2 linked regions of the Arabidopsis thaliana genome follow. The protein of the gene in region 1 purifies or fractionates together with the protein of each later gene. This does not show direct contact. Each region holds a gene or a part of one and is shown on either strand. Other genes may lie near its edges. The genes, in order: SNC1 and AT5G15400.

What was found.
Region 2: the proteins of SNC1 (region 1) and AT5G15400 purify together in Arabidopsis thaliana (affinity purification with western blotting, with the first as the bait; one study listed by BioGRID). This does not show direct contact.

What each region holds. Positions count from the first base shown.
Region 1 is NC_003075.7:9,499,738-9,507,934, forward strand, and holds SNC1 (TIR-NBS-LRR class disease resistance protein), read right to left. Parts: upstream 6,094-8,197; 5' UTR 5,746-6,093; coding exon 5,255-5,745; exon of another isoform or gene 5,204-5,254; coding exon of another isoform or gene 5,178-5,203; coding exon 4,100-5,177; intron 3,915-4,099; coding exon 3,627-3,914; intron 3,530-3,626; coding exon 3,050-3,529; intron 2,837-3,049; coding exon 1,076-2,836; intron 985-1,075; coding exon 769-984; 3' UTR 534-768; downstream 1-533. UniProt on the Arabidopsis thaliana protein: Disease resistance protein of the TIR-NB-LRR-type. Part of the RPP5 locus that contains a cluster of several paralogous disease resistance (R) genes.
Region 2 is NC_003076.8:4,997,020-5,005,014, forward strand, and holds AT5G15400 (U-box domain-containing protein), read right to left. Parts: upstream 6,235-7,995; 5' UTR 5,889-6,234; coding exon 5,029-5,888; intron 4,558-5,028; coding exon 4,353-4,557; intron 4,212-4,352; coding exon 4,060-4,211; intron 3,973-4,059; coding exon 3,699-3,972; intron 3,426-3,698; coding exon 3,273-3,425; intron 3,174-3,272; coding exon 2,970-3,173; intron 2,889-2,969; coding exon 2,776-2,888; intron 2,666-2,775; coding exon 2,548-2,665; intron 2,393-2,547; coding exon 2,303-2,392; intron 2,223-2,302; coding exon 2,019-2,222; intron 1,940-2,018; coding exon 1,844-1,939; intron 1,761-1,843; coding exon 1,638-1,760; intron 1,556-1,637; coding exon 1,463-1,555; intron 1,379-1,462; coding exon 1,214-1,378; intron 1,109-1,213; coding exon 1,019-1,108; intron 922-1,018; coding exon 745-921; 3' UTR 470-744; downstream 1-469. Other genes in the region: AT5G15390 (tRNA/rRNA methyltransferase (SpoU) family protein), read left to right, coding at 1-14, 102-236; DND1 (Cyclic nucleotide-regulated ion channel family protein), read right to left, coding at 6,441-6,950, 7,067-7,153, 7,240-7,476, 7,569-7,680, 7,778-7,995. UniProt on the Arabidopsis thaliana protein: Ubiquitin-protein ligase that may function as an E3 ligase in conjunction with specific E1 and E2 ligases. May also function as an E4 ligase mediating the assembly of polyubiquitin chain assembly on substrates monoubiquitinated by another E3 ubiquitin ligase.

The sequences.
Region 1 (8,197 bases):
CATCAGACCACACGTCTATGTTAGGCCCTTGATGCAAAGATCTGAAGCAAATCAATTCAGTCAAGAACAGCCCCAGAGAATTAGCTTTCCATCCTAGATGTTCTAGTGAGTAGTTCAGGCCTACAACTTTAACTCTTTACGATACAATTAAAGAGTGCAGCGGCATGGGGGAACAGCAGCGACATGTATTCTCATCGACGTAGGATAGCTGGATGATACTTCATGGTTTGGAAGTGGACCAGACAATGTCTCCTGTAGAAAGTTTAAAAGCTCTTTCCTTCACCCGAAGGATTGTTCCTTATGCTGGTTACATCTTTGGCCGAAGTTAGGCCAAAAACGCTTCTGCCTTTTGGCTATTGAATCAGCGGATATGCAAATGTTGCTGATTCTTGTTGTTTTCTGTACCCAAAGTCTGATTTATTCATTGCTAATAAAGAGAAAAACAACCTTTACTAACATAAACCTTGACATCTATGTTTTAAAAAAGGCAAGACTATTTTGGGTAGTACCTGAGTTCAAGTAGGTACGCTCCCAAATTCAATGTGGAAATAGATAGATGTATGGTACAATACAAAACCATGCGAAAGATGTTTTTCCAGAATATGCTAAAGTGTGGCTTTCTGAAACATTTATTCTTTCAGGAAAAGCGAAATGTTCAAAACAAACGCAGAGTTGGATAATGTAATTAATTATCATTATCATTATCATTATAGTCATAGTCGATCCCAAGTTATCCTAAAACAGAGCAAAACAGAATGATAAGATGTTTCAGTTACCAGAAACAGGAAACAAGATAGGAATTCCTTTATCTTGTTCTTCAGTTATCATGTAATCAACACACAAAGCTTCCCCCTCTAGAGATGTTGATGATGATGGTTCTCCCTGCCCTAACGAAAGCTCCATATTTAGAGCGGCCAATCCTGTGTCCGCTACAATTAGGCCATAGGGTAAGTTGATATCTTCTTCAGATGTCCCCGATGTCATCTGCATTATAAATCAAACGATAGATTCTATTAAATAGTCTGTCCCTATGGTATTTCGATCCTGGAAAATCAAATCAAAAGTCAAAAGATACCCGCATCCGCTTCTCGCTTCTCGTAGTCTGTTGGTTGTTCTCTTCTTGAGAGACATACATGAGTCGTACACCGCATTCTTTGATCCTATTGGAGCAACAAAACTTAAACTCCACATCGTTGAAATTCAATTTAGATGGAAGATCTTCAGACCGGAACTTGAAGGAACAGAAAAACAGATGATCCGTCTTACAAAGCTCCAGTTCTGCATCTTTAGAAAATGATTTCTGATACTGTTTGCCATTGAAGCCAACGTTTACCTTCAAGAATGGATAAAAACCCTTGCCCTTGGAGAGAGGTTCAACCACGACGCAAGCCTTAAATCGCAAGAAATTTTGAGAAAGAGAGCTCTGAGGTACAATGACAGTTAGGGAATCTCCATAAGCTCGATACGTGAAATACTTAGGGATTTCTTCACCTGGTAAGGCCACAGGCTTGAAGCATGATCGTAGGATGAGCTCTCGCGCATCTCTATCCAATTTGAAGCAATTACGGAAGCTAAAATGTTCCTGGAGGTATGCAACACGATACAACTTATCCCAGATATATTCAATGTTTTCAGATAATGGTACACAAGAAACGTGGTCTTCCATTGTCGCTACCACAGTTGCATCACTCAACGCCTTGATGACACCTCTACAGTCTGTAAAGTCGGCGAGCTCAAGTCTTGTAAGTCTGAAAATGTTTGGGGAGATGGTTTTCAACCTCTGGCAACAATACATCATAAGTACAGTGAGCCTCGTGAAATCCTCAATGCAGCAGGGAACTTCTTCAATGGCGGTGTTTTGCAGATAGAGACATTCGATTCTAGTTGAAATCAGAGGAAAAGTTCTCAGACTTGAGCAACCACTGAGATCGAGGATCATAAGAGATGACAAGTTGACATCGGTCGGAAGAACCTCCAGCCCTGTGCATTCTTTCATTTCTAACTTCACCAATCTATGAAGATTCCCAATTGTAGAAGGGATTTCTTCAATGGCGGTGTTTTCCAGATAGAGCCATACAATATTAGTTGAAATCAGAGGAAAAGTTCTCAGACTTGAGCAACCACTGAGATCGAGGATCATAAGAGATGACAAGTTGACATCGATCGGAAGAACCTCCAGCCCTGTGCATTCTTTCATTTCAAAGCTCACCAATTTTTGGAGATTTCCTATAGTAGTAGGAAGTGTCACCAAACTTTTGCAATTGTTGAGTTTCAAATTCTTCAGATTAGTGGCCTTTGAAAGATCTGGAATTTCTTCAATGGCGGTGTTTTCCAGATAGAGCCATTTGATACTCTCTGAAATCAGAGGAAAACTTCTCAAACTTGAGCAACCACTGAGATCGAGGGTTTCGAGAGATGACAAGTTGACATCGGTCGGAAGAACCTCCAGCCCTGTGCATTTTTTCATTTCTAACCTCACCAATCTATGAAGATTCCCAATTGTAGAAGGAATTTCTTCAATGGCGGTGTTTTCCAGATAGAGCCATACAATATTAGTTGAAATCAGAGGAAAACTTCTCAAACTTGAGCAACCACTGAGATCGAGGGTTTCGAGAGATGACAAGTTGACATCGGTCGGAAGAACCTCCAGCCCTGTGCATTCTTTCATTTCCAACCTCACCAATCTATGAAGATTCCCAATTGTAGAAGGAAGTGTCACCAAACTTTTGCAGTTGTTGAGTATCAAAGACTCGAGCTTGGTGGCCTTTGAAAGATCTGGAATTTCTGTCAGGTTTTCAGATTCTGACAGATCCATCCCTTCGAGACTTCCAAGCGACTGAAAAAAACATTGGTATGCTTCAATCATTATCGATGATAATCATTTTAATTTTATACTGTATATGTTTAAAATTATAATTAAACATTATTATAAGACATAACCGTGGTAAGACATAACCGTGGATCACAAGCCATAATAACAAATTTGGGTATAGTTAATTAGTTATATAACAGAAGGTAAACAAAAATCAGCATAGCATTAACAATGTACCTGGATGCCTTCCCATAGCTTCTCATGCTTGTAGCCCCTCACATTGAGAAAAGCGAGTTGTTCTGGGCGAAATTCACAAGGCATACATCTCGTAAGGCAGTCGAGATAATCTAGTCCAGCAGGGAGATTCTTGTTCCAGAAACAATCTTCTACCACGATCTCATTTCTCCCTTCCGGAAAGTCAACGTCTGAACATCCCATTTTGATTGCTGGAAAGTTTCTCAAATTCGGGCATCCAGTGAGATTGAGGTACTCGAGAGATTCCAAGTTGAGATCGGTTGGAAAACTCTCTAGCTTTTTGCAATCACTCATATCTAAATAGATCAGTTTAGTGGCATTCTGAATCGAGGAAGGAAGTGTCACCAAAGATTTGCATCCAACAAGATCTAATTCCTCGAGGTTTATGGCTAAAGAAAGATCTGGAATTTCTTTCAAATTGTTGGAATACCTCAAATTCATCTCCTTGAGACTTCCAAGGGGCTGAAAACAAAATATGGAAAAAGAGAATACACACGTTCACAAATATACCACAGTTCTGTTCTAAAAACTGACAACTAATAAAATTTAGAATTCGTACCAGAGTTCCTTCCCACAGTTTCTCAAGCTTACTATACTTCATTATGAGGTTAACTAGATATTCCGCCTTAAAAGTAGATGGCAAAGACTTCAATGGACAATCATCCCAGTCTAGCAATCTGAGTTTAAGGGGCAAATAAACGAGGCTCTGAGGTAGATCCCCGTAATAACCAATTTCTAGATATTGCAGATTACGCATGCCTTTGAACGATTCTTTATCTATTAATAACGGCCTTGTCGAAAAATATTCCTCGAATGGCAAACGTATTCCAAGAAGAGTTTCTGTCCCCTGAAAAAAAATCCGAAGAAAACTAATATAATCTTAACAATCGCAACCCTTTTTAATTTTCTGACACATCAAAGCTACATTTTAATTACGCATGAGGCAACAATTGCTTAAGTTTATCAATCCCCAAATTACGATTATATTAATATAAAGTCATGCATTCAAACGGAGCTGCGAAAAAAACTTACAGTTTTCTCGGTCACTACTTCATGAATATCTTCAAAATTCGTCAGAAATCGACGTTTTCCAGGATTACCCTTGGACTTTGCACGATCAATTTCTCTACCCAATTTCTCTAGCAAATTGTGCATCTCTATATATCCATCCGGTGTAATACGTATGAGGGACTTCTCAGTCAACATTGTAAACCCAACATTATCTTTAAGTAAATCTTTGACGTAACTGACTTCAAAACCATTGAATAAACACGCGATGTAAAGGAACATATCTTGATCTTTTTGATGTAATCTATCGTAGCTGACTCTTAATGTTTTCATAATATCTCCGTTCAAACCATTTCGGAGCCTAGGCATCATCTCCATCCACCATTCTTTGGTCCTTCCCTTTAAAGACGAACCAAGGACACTAAGACCCAACGGAAGATTACCGGCAAGCTTCGCAACTTCAAATGCTAGTTCCTTAAAATCATCAGGTGGAGAGTCTTTCCCAAAAGCAGATCGGCATAACATCGTAAGAGCAAGATGTTCAGATGGGAACTCCACCTCATATATAAGGTCAATCTCATGAGCCTTGAGAAGTTGCCTATCTTGAGTGATCACAATTATTCTGCTTCCAGATCCAAACCATTCAGCTTTTCCCACCAAGGTCTTAAGAAACTCTAGACTATCCACATCATCAAGAAGGATAAGAACTTTCTGTTGCTTTAACCTTTGCTCCACCACACCAAAATGCTCTATCTTTATGTCCTTTTGACCTAAGATTTCCGAGAGAAGTTCTTTTTCCCACCTCAACTTCATGCCAGAGACGTCACTACCGCTGGTGCTTTTATATGTTATGAAAGCGCGATGGTGGAACTGGATAGAGAGTTTACTGTAAAGAGCTCTTCCTATGGTACTCTTACCAATCCCTGATTGTCCCCAAATCCCGACCATTATTCTAGCTTCCTTGGATTCCAAGCACAATACTGATTTTATTGCCTCTATATGATTTTCAATTCCGACTAAGTCGCCAAAATCATCCGATGGTGTCATAGTTTTTCTCAAAACATCCTCGGCAAGCTCTTCAATCATGGCTGCTTCACTAGGCCTAATAACAATAGTCAACTGTTTCATTAAAGAAGCAACGCAAAACAAAAAAATCACGAAGTCTATTCATTGAAATACCATTTCCGAAGATCATATCCGGCCATAACTGCAACAGCTGCTAGAGCTTGCTTCCAACTTTGTTTCTCATCCTCTGATTTAGCCTTGCATGTCTCTTCAAAGACCTTTCCAAATTCGCCGGTCTGTTTTTTAACTTCCGAAGCATCAACGTGGAAGAAAATCGGAATCACCATTTGATTCAAATTCGTATAACACTTGTGAATCTCCACCAATTCATTCAGGCACCAGGTGGATGAAGCATAGTTCTTAGAGAAGATAACGATTGCTATTCTCGATTCTTTTATTGCCGATAAAAGCTCCGGGCCGATTGAGCGGCTCCTCTCGATCTCATCATCTATGAATGTGATTGCTTTGCCCCTGAGCTCCTTGAGAAGATGGCTGAGGAATGAGTCACGGACATCTTCTCCACGAAAGCTTGGGAAAACGTCGTATCTCCGGCTGCCAGAAGAAGAAGCTATCTCCATATCATCATCTTTGGATGTATCCATCATTTCACGGTCGAGCTCGAGCTCCTTGACAAGATGGCCACGAAACAATTTGCCGAAATTTTCTCCACTGAAGCTCGCGAAAACATTGTATATCCATCTGAGAACATTGTATATCTATCTGAAGCAAGAAGACGCCATGGCAGAGGATGAGAGAGAAGAGACGAAATTTCTCAAAGGAAAACTCTTTGAAGTATATCAATAATACAACACAGTAACAGAGAGGAGAAACTTGGTCTTCCTTTCCTCGAAGACTTGTATAGAAGACTTACTATACAAGATATTGTTTTAGTGGTTAAAATCAAATCCCATTACAAGACAATTGGGACAAATAATACGTAAACTTGGTCTTCCTTTCTTAGAAGACTTGCATAGAAGACTTACTGTACAAGATATTTTTTTAGTGGTTGAAAAATCAAATCCCTAACAAGATAAGGCCATAATTATGTGATACAGAAACTTCCCCTTCCTTTCCTTGGAAAGCTTCTACTCTATAACGATAAGTCAATTTTGTGGCTATCAGTCGTCACTGAATTTATCTATGATGATGAGACGTAGCCATTCTACAAGATTTCAAGATAATTTCTAGGCAAAATAGACAGAAACTTCCTCGAGAGCTACTTTTCCTCTCCACAGATATTTTTGAAGACCCAAAATTTTGTGGCTGTCAGTGGTTCAAGACAGAAACAAGATTTCAATTTATTTTAACAATGTTAAGGTTCACTAATATCAAAAGTCTGGTTTTCCTATTCATACTGTACATACATGCATGGAAATTAGGAGAATAATTAGTATATCGATTATGAGGATTATAATTCAACTAATAATACAGTGAAAACACTAACAACAAACTATCTAGTTTTCTAGAGCTGTGTGGTGTGGACAGTGGAGAGAATATTTTCATGTAAAGTTTTCTTGTTTACATTTACAATTGTAATATTAGTTTAGAGTTTTGGCTTACTGTGTCAGCAACCACTGTAGGCTGCGATTGCATTTGCTGCCGTTTAAGGAGCATTTGGTTTCTAAGGGTAGGTTTCATGTACTGGATGGAAGAAGTCGTGCTTGAGAGCATCCTCTGCACTGATTCGCCGTCTCGGGTTAACGGTCAAACATCTATCAACGAGGTCAAGGAGCGACCATGGAATTGCATCTAGAAACTCCATGCGTTTTGGGTTGAGTTCGTACCATTTTCTCAACTCCATCCCTTTCAAGTACCTTGACTTGTACAATTCCTGAAACAACAACACAAAAATCAACCTGAACTCATCTCTCACGATCATCTATCTAATAATTTTGTCGGTAATTTACATTTTTAAGATATATAATGTTTTGGAACACAAAATGCTAACAATGAAAACCCTTTTGTGATATTTGAATCCAAATGCTGGCGGCAAAGAAGAACAGAACATGTATGTTATGTTCACACCAATGCAGTAATCAAATGAATGGAGAGTTTACAAGGGATGAAAGATGAGATTTTACCTCATGTAAAGAGGATTCACGGTTGTGCAGCTTGGCTACTTCCCATAATTCTTCACTGCCTCGTAGTTGCGCAATGTCCTTTATGTTCCTGGGAATGACAAGGTCGTTGTAAGACGGCAAGAAAGAAGAAAAAAGTGGAACCGAGTGATGGTGTATTCAGTCAAGTCAGATCTTAACTGTTCAGGGTCACCAGTGAGAGCTTTCCTTCCCATTATGAGGTATAACAAAGTAACTCCCGCAGAACACACGTCTTTTTTTAGGTCCTTGGTCCAAAGACCATTCAGCCGAGAACAGCCCTAGAGAATTAGCTTTTCCATCCCATCCTAGATGTGTTAATGAGTAGCTCAGGGAACAAGATATTTTCATATGGATTTAACTAGTATCAAGGGAAGTGATATATCTGCAGGAAAAATGGCTTGTGTCAAAACATATGAAATCGTCTTGCCATTATCATTATAGTCATGCTCGGTCCCAAGTTATCCTAAAACAGAGGAAAACCGAATAATAAGATGCTTCAGTTACCAGAACCAGAATTCAAGATAGGAATTTCTTCATCTTGTTGTTCACTTATCATGGAATCAACACACAAAGATTCCCCCTCCAGAGATGGATAAGAAGAAACTGATGATGCTTCTCCCTGCCCTAACGAAAGCTCCATATTTAGAGCGGTCAAGCTTGTGTCCGCTACAATTTGGACACAGGGTAAGTTGATATATTCTTCAGATGTTCCCGATGTCATCTGCATCGTAAACCAAAGGATCGATTCTGTTAAATAGTCTGTCACTAAGGTATTGATCCTGGAAAATATAATAAAACATCAAGAGATAGCTTTGCAATTTTCAGTTCTAATTATGTCAAAAGGCTTACCCGCATCCGCTTATTGCTTCTCGCAGTCTCTACAACATCACATTTTTCTCGAGACTGTTGGCTGTACTCTGTTTCAGAGCTTCCATCACTATCATCTGGAAATGGAGAC
Region 2 (7,995 bases), on another chromosome or scaffold:
GAACCACTCGTCTGGTAAACCTATTGACACAGCTAGACAATCATTTACGTTAGTTTCCAGTTCAGTTTATGCTTTAATTACATTTTATGGGTTTGAAACAGGGAAGCCATGGAGATCTGTCGGAAGCAGAGAAAGAGATATTGATGGCTGAGTTCTCACTTCGTCACAGTAGAAGCTCAATTTGCATTGCTTACGAGTTCGCTAAACGTAAACAACAACACTCTACCTCCTCCTAATTTTGAAACCGTTGTCTTATTCTCTCGCTGTTTTGCGTGTTATAGGCTTCGAATGACGCCTATAAAAACTCTTTCGAACTCTTTTTTTGGTACGACGCTTGCTTCATGTACAACTCTTAAATTCTATAAAAGACATCCTTCTGTCGAACGTATTGCCTTTTCAATCGAGTGAGTGGTGTTGATTTCACCATTCTTCTGCATCGACCTCACGCCATCAAAGATTAAGTTAGAAATTTCGCCTTTCAAGAATTGGTCACTCATAACTCTTATGCCAACTAGTAATCCATGAACAAACGTCGAAATGCATAGAAACTCGTGAACACATCGAACTTATGATAGAAACAGTTCTAGACATGATATTTATAAGTTTTTTTCCCGTGGCATCAAATAAGTGGAAAGCAAGCCCTAAAATAGATAGATAAATCCTAATAGAAAAGAAAGCCTAGCAAAAGTAAAAAAAAAAAGTCCTGAATAATTGTTATTATTTTGTTACTTTTGGAACACATAATTAATCAATTAACATATCACTGTTTGTAGTCTGTATCCTTTCCTTGTTGCTGCTATCTTCTCCACTTGTCCGTTTCTTAGACTGATGCGACTTCACAAACTCATCGATTTTCGCCTTCAACTCGATGTCCGGTATCAACATATCCGATGTCAAATGTGCTCGGTTAAATGGATCATGCTGCAGCAAAAGTAAGAGGATCATATACAAAGCCAAAATCTTCAGAGAAAGAGAGATGTGACTGATCAGTGATCATCATTGTGTTAGATAAGCTTACATTGTCGCTGAGAAGATGACGTTGAATGATGGGACGATCAACTGTGATTCTTGAGCTTGGAAGTATTACTGGATCTCTCATTAGCGTGTACTGCCAAAAAAGAAAAGGAAAAGAAAAAAACAAGAACAGACATTAGTGCATGGTAATAAGACAAGATTTAGGTTTAAATTAGTGTTTCTTTCAACAGATAAAGACCTGAATTGGGTCAAGGAACTCGTCTGGTATTTCCCCAAGTGCAGCTTCAGCATCCAGAGCTTCAGAAGCAGCAGCTTTGGCTTTTGTGCCTAACTCCATAAACTCTTGAATGATTCTTCCCTCTTCACCTATTCTCCTAAGCACATCTGCTCCTGCATTGAATAGCTGCAAAAACGGGCACTTGTTTAGTTCAGTAGAGACGCATCTATTATTATGAAAGAGGATTTGGTTTAGAAAGAAGGATCTGACCTGTTCATTATATGATCGGCCATCACTGGAGATGGCACCAGGGAATATGTTTACTGTGTCTCCTCTTGCGAGATTAACATATATGCGAACGATCTTCAAAGTTCACAATCATATCAGTCAGTTTTTTCTCACATACTTTGATCAGGAGAATTGAGTAATTGTAATCACTACTAACCTGTTTAAGTAACTGTTTTGGACGGAATTCATATTTCTCAGGATCTTTCAGGCTTAAAGATTTACGCTGTGGACCCACGAGTTGTAGCAAGAAGTAGTTAAGCATGTTGGCAACCCTCTCAACCTAAATAAGTGCAAACAAACAAAGAAACTCATCAGTTGGGTAATCATAGGGCAGGTTATCATTTCAGGAATATGGTCAGGTACCATCTCAGGGAGTAGGAAAGGGGCAGTGATCTCCTCGGATGTAAATGCAAGCATAGTCACATCTTCATTTGCCAGCTTCATGTCGATTCTAACAATCTGCAAAGAAAATCAAAGTTCTTTATGGGATCGGGATTCGAGTACGAAACAAGATATAAGAAGTGATAATCCAACTAACATTCTCCTGCGAATGGAAGAGTCTTGTTCTCTCCTGTCTCTCTTGAGTTGGTCTCTGCTCCCACTCTGCAGTATTTGACATGTCTGCCTCGATTTGTTTAATCTCGAGAATTTTGTTTAGACTTTCATCCAGAAGATAGATGCTATCATTGACTAAGAAGTTTAAGAAGTTCAAGTACACGCCCTTCTCTTCGTCTTTTGCAATCTGTAACACATCAAATTTGGAAAAACATTGGAACATGATAGTTGAAGTTCAAAGTCATGGCAAGCTCACTAAGAATTTACCCGTCTCCATGCATTTCGGTGACTAGGCACCTGCCAGAGATACTCTAAAAGCTCGGCAATGTTGTGGCGAATATTGAACTTGTCATAGAACTGCATTTGGATAACTAGATTTCAGTTCCAATAAAAGCAAGAACAAATGGCTATTCTGGCTTCCAGAGCTAACATATTCTCAAGTACAATGCAATAGAGAGAAGTTCATTACTCCAGGAATATTATAGCCACTAAACAAAATCTCTTGCAATCACCTGAGTGTGTGAACCCGTGAACTCAATGTCAACATATAGTTTCAGTAAATTCCTGACAAGATACTCGAGCGATAACTGATGTCCCTCAAAGAGAGTAGATGTAGCAGAAGAAGAACTACTGCAGGAAAAAAAAAAAATTAGAATGGTGGACCACGTTACTGCAGAACTTGTTGCATTAGCAACACAAATTGACAAATGTACAGCTTTCTTTCATGGGAAGAAAAACACCTTGAACGAGGCATCCAGCAGTTCAGAACTTCAACCATCTTTGCTCTGAGATACGGGTTTCTAACATATTCAGGACTTGCCATGAACATAATTATGAAGTTCATAAAGTCGTCCTTAAGAAAAGAGAACAACCATCATCAGTGCAAATACAAAAAGAGAATTTCTACAGACTGATGAGAGCAAACTAAGCATACCAGCGGCACCCCGTCCAAAGCTTTGGGAATTCTTGAAGCGAATATCAGCAACTCCATTGCATCTTCAACAAAATGCTCAGGCATACAGGAGAATTCCATAGGGCAAGTTGACGGTAGAGGCATCTTAAAGCCACCGACTAGTCCAACTAACCAAACAACCATTAGGCGATAGAAAGACAGAGCTCGCTGAATAAAATCTCCATCCTTCAATACAGTATAGAGATAAGGCAGCTATTACTATCATGTTACCGGTCCAGAGGAAAAGCCGAAGATGTTATCAGAGCAGAGAATATGATTACAAACCCTCAATATTTGGGCCTCATGGCAAAGCTTTTCCTGCGAAGACAGCTCTAGTTCTTTTTCCATTCGGGATATATCAAGTTCCAACTGTGGAGAAGGTGCTTGATCTCTCATGGCTTTTAGCGTTGCAAGATTATCTTCACCTCTCGAGATGTCCTACGTCATGCGGAAAAGAAAAAGTGAAGAACCATACAATAACAATCTTCTGCAAATTCAGGAATCAATGACACTTTCACAATGTAAACATGTGACTAAGTTCAAGTTTTTGCTATAGTCCCTTCTCGTTTTAACTAACAAACGCCTTAATAAGACAATATGTAAGGAACCAAATCAAATAAGAGCTTTCTGCAAGATAATTTATCACAAGTCGTTTTTTTTTCCAAAAAATCTTCAATATTTCCAGGACGGGAAAACTGTGATGATGATTACCTGAGCAAGATGTTTAAAGTCAGAGAGTGCTTTTAGGAGACCCAAATTGAGGACCCTAGCAGTCATAAAGAAGCATTCACAAATGAAAGTGTATTTAGTTGCTGACTTTGCATTTTGCCCAGAAGCATTACTACTAGAACTTGTGGCTTCTTTGGATTGTAACAAGCGACTTTCGTTCCCATTTTCTCGCCCAGCATCATTTGCGTTTGCCATAGCATCTTTGCCAATCCACTCAGTAACTTCTTCGGATGATGCATGGAGAGCGGTCAAGTCGCTGGTGTGGATCATAAATAATATTGCTCATCATGAAACTATTAAAATCAGTGAGGAAATACAAGTAGAATCATCTTGAGGACCATACCTTAATTTTAAGCGATGGCCACAGAATGCGTATTTTGGATCAATCTTATCCCTTTTCGTTAAATGTGGGTCTAAAAATGGTTCACAGAGCCGGAGCATTACTGCACTAAGGTTAACAAACATGCCTGAGCTAGCACAAGAGACTGGATCAACCTGTCATACAAGATAAACATATTACAGAATGCTGATTTGAGCAAAAAAGACAAATACCAACTTGATAAAACCGAGAGGAGACAATAGCAATTCATGAATAAAGATCCGAAGTATATATGCATCTTATAAACGGATGATTACCTGTATATGGGCTCTAGACGCATTTGCATTGATCACCTCTGCAAGAAACTGTAGAACACGCTCACGGGTATCAGTACTTTTAAGTAAAATCATCAATACATCATGCAGCCCGCTGTACAAAATGTTCATGAAATTTTTAATCGTGGAGAAGGATGATAATAAATCTGCGGGACGACGTTCCGATGCTTCAGAGAAACACTGCTGCCTGATATTCACAAAAACAATAGACATATATCAGCATTTTCATAACAGGTAAAGTATATCCTCTGAGGTGGATCAGGAAAACTCTTATGTTCGCACAATTAAGCCTTGTCAAATACTAAATGGACAATCAAGATTCTTCAGTACAGACCAGAAAAAATGCTCAAAATAATGGATTTCATCCACAATATTCTAACTTAACATAGTGCTTACTAATATTTCTGTTGGTTTCGCCTCTACTGATCATCTAACTATGCTAAATTTATATAATCATGCTTAAAATATGTATACAACCTAACAGTGGCATCATATATAAGCCAAATATATCTGCTTTTTTCCTTTTTTGATCAAGTCTCTCTACTATGAGTAAAAGCTAATCAATAATTCTTACTATCCAAACTTTCTCAATAAGAAAAGAGCCCCAAAGACTACATGATTCTCAGTAATAGAAACCCATAAATAAGTTGGAACTCACCCAACATCAGGTTGACTCTTGAATAGTGTATTATCTGGCAGCGCACTAATATGGAAGAAAGGCCCAAGAATGCTAGTCAACTCCATTGCTCGGCCGTTCATATAGGCACCCCGTGGAACCCACCACTCATGACTAACCAGAGATTTAGCTCCTACTGGTAAGCTAACAAGATACTTGAGTGCCCTCAGTGGTGGCTGGAAATCTCCAAGCACTGATACATTTATAACCGTAGACCTCAAATCCTCATACAGCTCCTTTAGAATCGAGTCCAAGCTATCAAAATCCGAGTCTTTGAAAAACTCATCCAAAAACCCAGGAGGAGCTTGAACCCCACTGCTACTAGCTCCAAACATATCCAACGAACCAGAACCAACCTCAGCAAAGATCAACGGAAGAACCGGAGAGACATTCCTCTTCTTCAACCTATTATCCAATCCACCACTAGGTTTATCCGAGTTCCCAAACATGTCAGGATTCCCCAAGTGAATCCTACAGTAAGAAACAGCAAGCTTCTTCGCTTGTTTAGTGACAATCTCCATCTCCGATCTCAGATTCTTATCCTTCATCGACTGGATTTTCTTCGATTCGTCGTAAGCACGACGGTGGCAACCGATTAAATACGGGAAAGGCGGTTCGGCGTCGGAAAAGTCGCCGGAGAGACGATCTATGAGAACTCTCTCCATCAAATCACGAGAAAGCAAAAGCTCTTTACCTTCGCTGAGAATCTCAGCGGCCGTCATCTCCAAGTAAACAATACGAGGATCGGAATCAGTTGATTCCGTTAGGGTTACATAAAATATCTTCCGGAGGATTATATCCTCAATTTCAGCCGGCGATCTTTGAGGTTTGCTCGTCGCCATTGATTTTACGAATCAAATCAAACACTCGAAACTCGATTTGAGAGATAAATATAAGAATTTTTTTTCTTAAACTTGTATTACCGATGAATCAAAAGCGAAAGAGTTTGGACTTAGCAATTTAAAGTATAATTAAATTTAGAAAAACTAAAATTCACGAAAGAAGAGAGAAACCATGGCGAGAGATTTGGAAGAACTTTCTGGGAGTAGGTTTTTGTTTATGAACTCTTTTGGAGTCTCTGAACGAGCTTTAGCAAGTCCTGAGCTTGGACAAAAAGTCTATATAGGATATATGCAAACGTCGTACTTACTAACGACGTCGTTTATACTTATTAAGACAATTACTTTTACTGCTAATAAAAAATAAAAAATAAAAAATTACCAAGATAAACTCCTCCAAGATTTTGTTGCTCAAAAAATCTACTTTGAACTTAACCGTAAGAGGTTGAAGTATCATTCCAAGAAAGATTTTTTAAAGAAGTAAAGGTAAACAATTGAGGAGGAACAATGAACACACAATTATTTGGACCGATATAAAATTGGAACTTTTTATTATTATTCGAGATGATCATGCGGTCGAATGGACATGAACATAGCTGCATACTGAAGTAACCGGCGTTCACTGTTACCTTCAATGCTATTCTCCGACACAGGACTCATCGAACCGCCGATGTTTTCACCACGGGTTCTTTTCCTACGCCGGCGCCACGCCATCTGAATATTTACCGCTGCCCACGTCCTCCAGTTTGAGGAATAGTATCTTGCGGTCCGCTTAAGCCGCTCGTTCGCGAATTTATAACGGAAATGATCGGTAATGTACCTAAGATCTTCGGATCCGAGGGAGAATGCCTCGATGTTTTCTAGGCAGACAAATGTTGCTGAGGAAGGGGGAAGACGGTCCAGAAACGGGCGACGTAGGCACCATGAGAGTAGCTCGTCGCCCAAGTAACCGCCTGGTTCTAGTGTACTAGTGGCTAGGACGCCTTTGCTTAGGCTCTGTATACGTTTGACTCGTCCACGCATGATGAATATCATTCTCTGTACAGGATCTCCTTCACGGATGATCTGTGACAATCAACAAAATCGAAGAACCTCAGATTTTACTCTTCAAGTAAACTCTTAAACCGAAACCGAAGCAAAATATTGGAAATATAAATTTTTAGAAATGATGGGATGAGTACCTTTTCGTCTTTAGAGAAGACTCGAGGCTTAGCCCGATCGCAAATGTTGTCGAGGATCAAGTCGTCCATGCCCCTGAACAATGGCACCTGAGAAAGATCAAACATGTCAGAGACTTAACACTTACTGCTTTCACAAGTCTTAACAAGATTGTATAAAGTCTGCTTCCTAGTACCTTGTTAATGAGATCAAAGCAAAGATATCGTTTGATATCTCTTCGAAGACCCGGAGGCAAATCATGTATAAGTTCTAGCTCGTCTTCACCACCCAAGGCATTCCATCTCTGCCGCTCAAATCGCCTAACCCTCTGTCTTAACCGGGAAGGTAACTGCCTACGTTTCATCCACCATTCCATATCCCTACACCGTATCTGCATTTTCCTTTTTTTCGCCATTACCGCATGCAAAAACACCTTCAAAATATTGTAAAGTAAAAAGCTTTTTAAAATCTTACATTCCATGAAAACACAATATCATAGAAAAGACATATTCTTGCATAGTTTACCTGAATGTTTCCTATCAACAGCGTGAAAAGTAACAAGCCACTTAGAACCATAACTATACTGAAAATAACCTCGAGCCAGTTGCTTGTGGGCTCAAGATCATTCGCAAATGTGCTGTAAAACGCGACCCCCAAAACAGATTCAGTATGTCAATCAGAGAATTTTTTTATATCCAAGATGTAAACCTTAAGCTCAGAAACAAAGCAATTACCTGAGAGTCATTAGGCCCCAGAAGATGGGGTAAAGGATCTTAACCGCAAGAGAGTTGCTGGAGATGACTGGAAGTGCCCAACGGTAGATACCATATCGGAATGGTCCGTTAGAGTCTAAGCACATAGGCTTATTGACCACACTGGTAAGGTTTCCAGATAAGCATGGATATCCAACTGTGCTTGTCGGTGACACAAATTGGTAACAGACCTCTTCTTT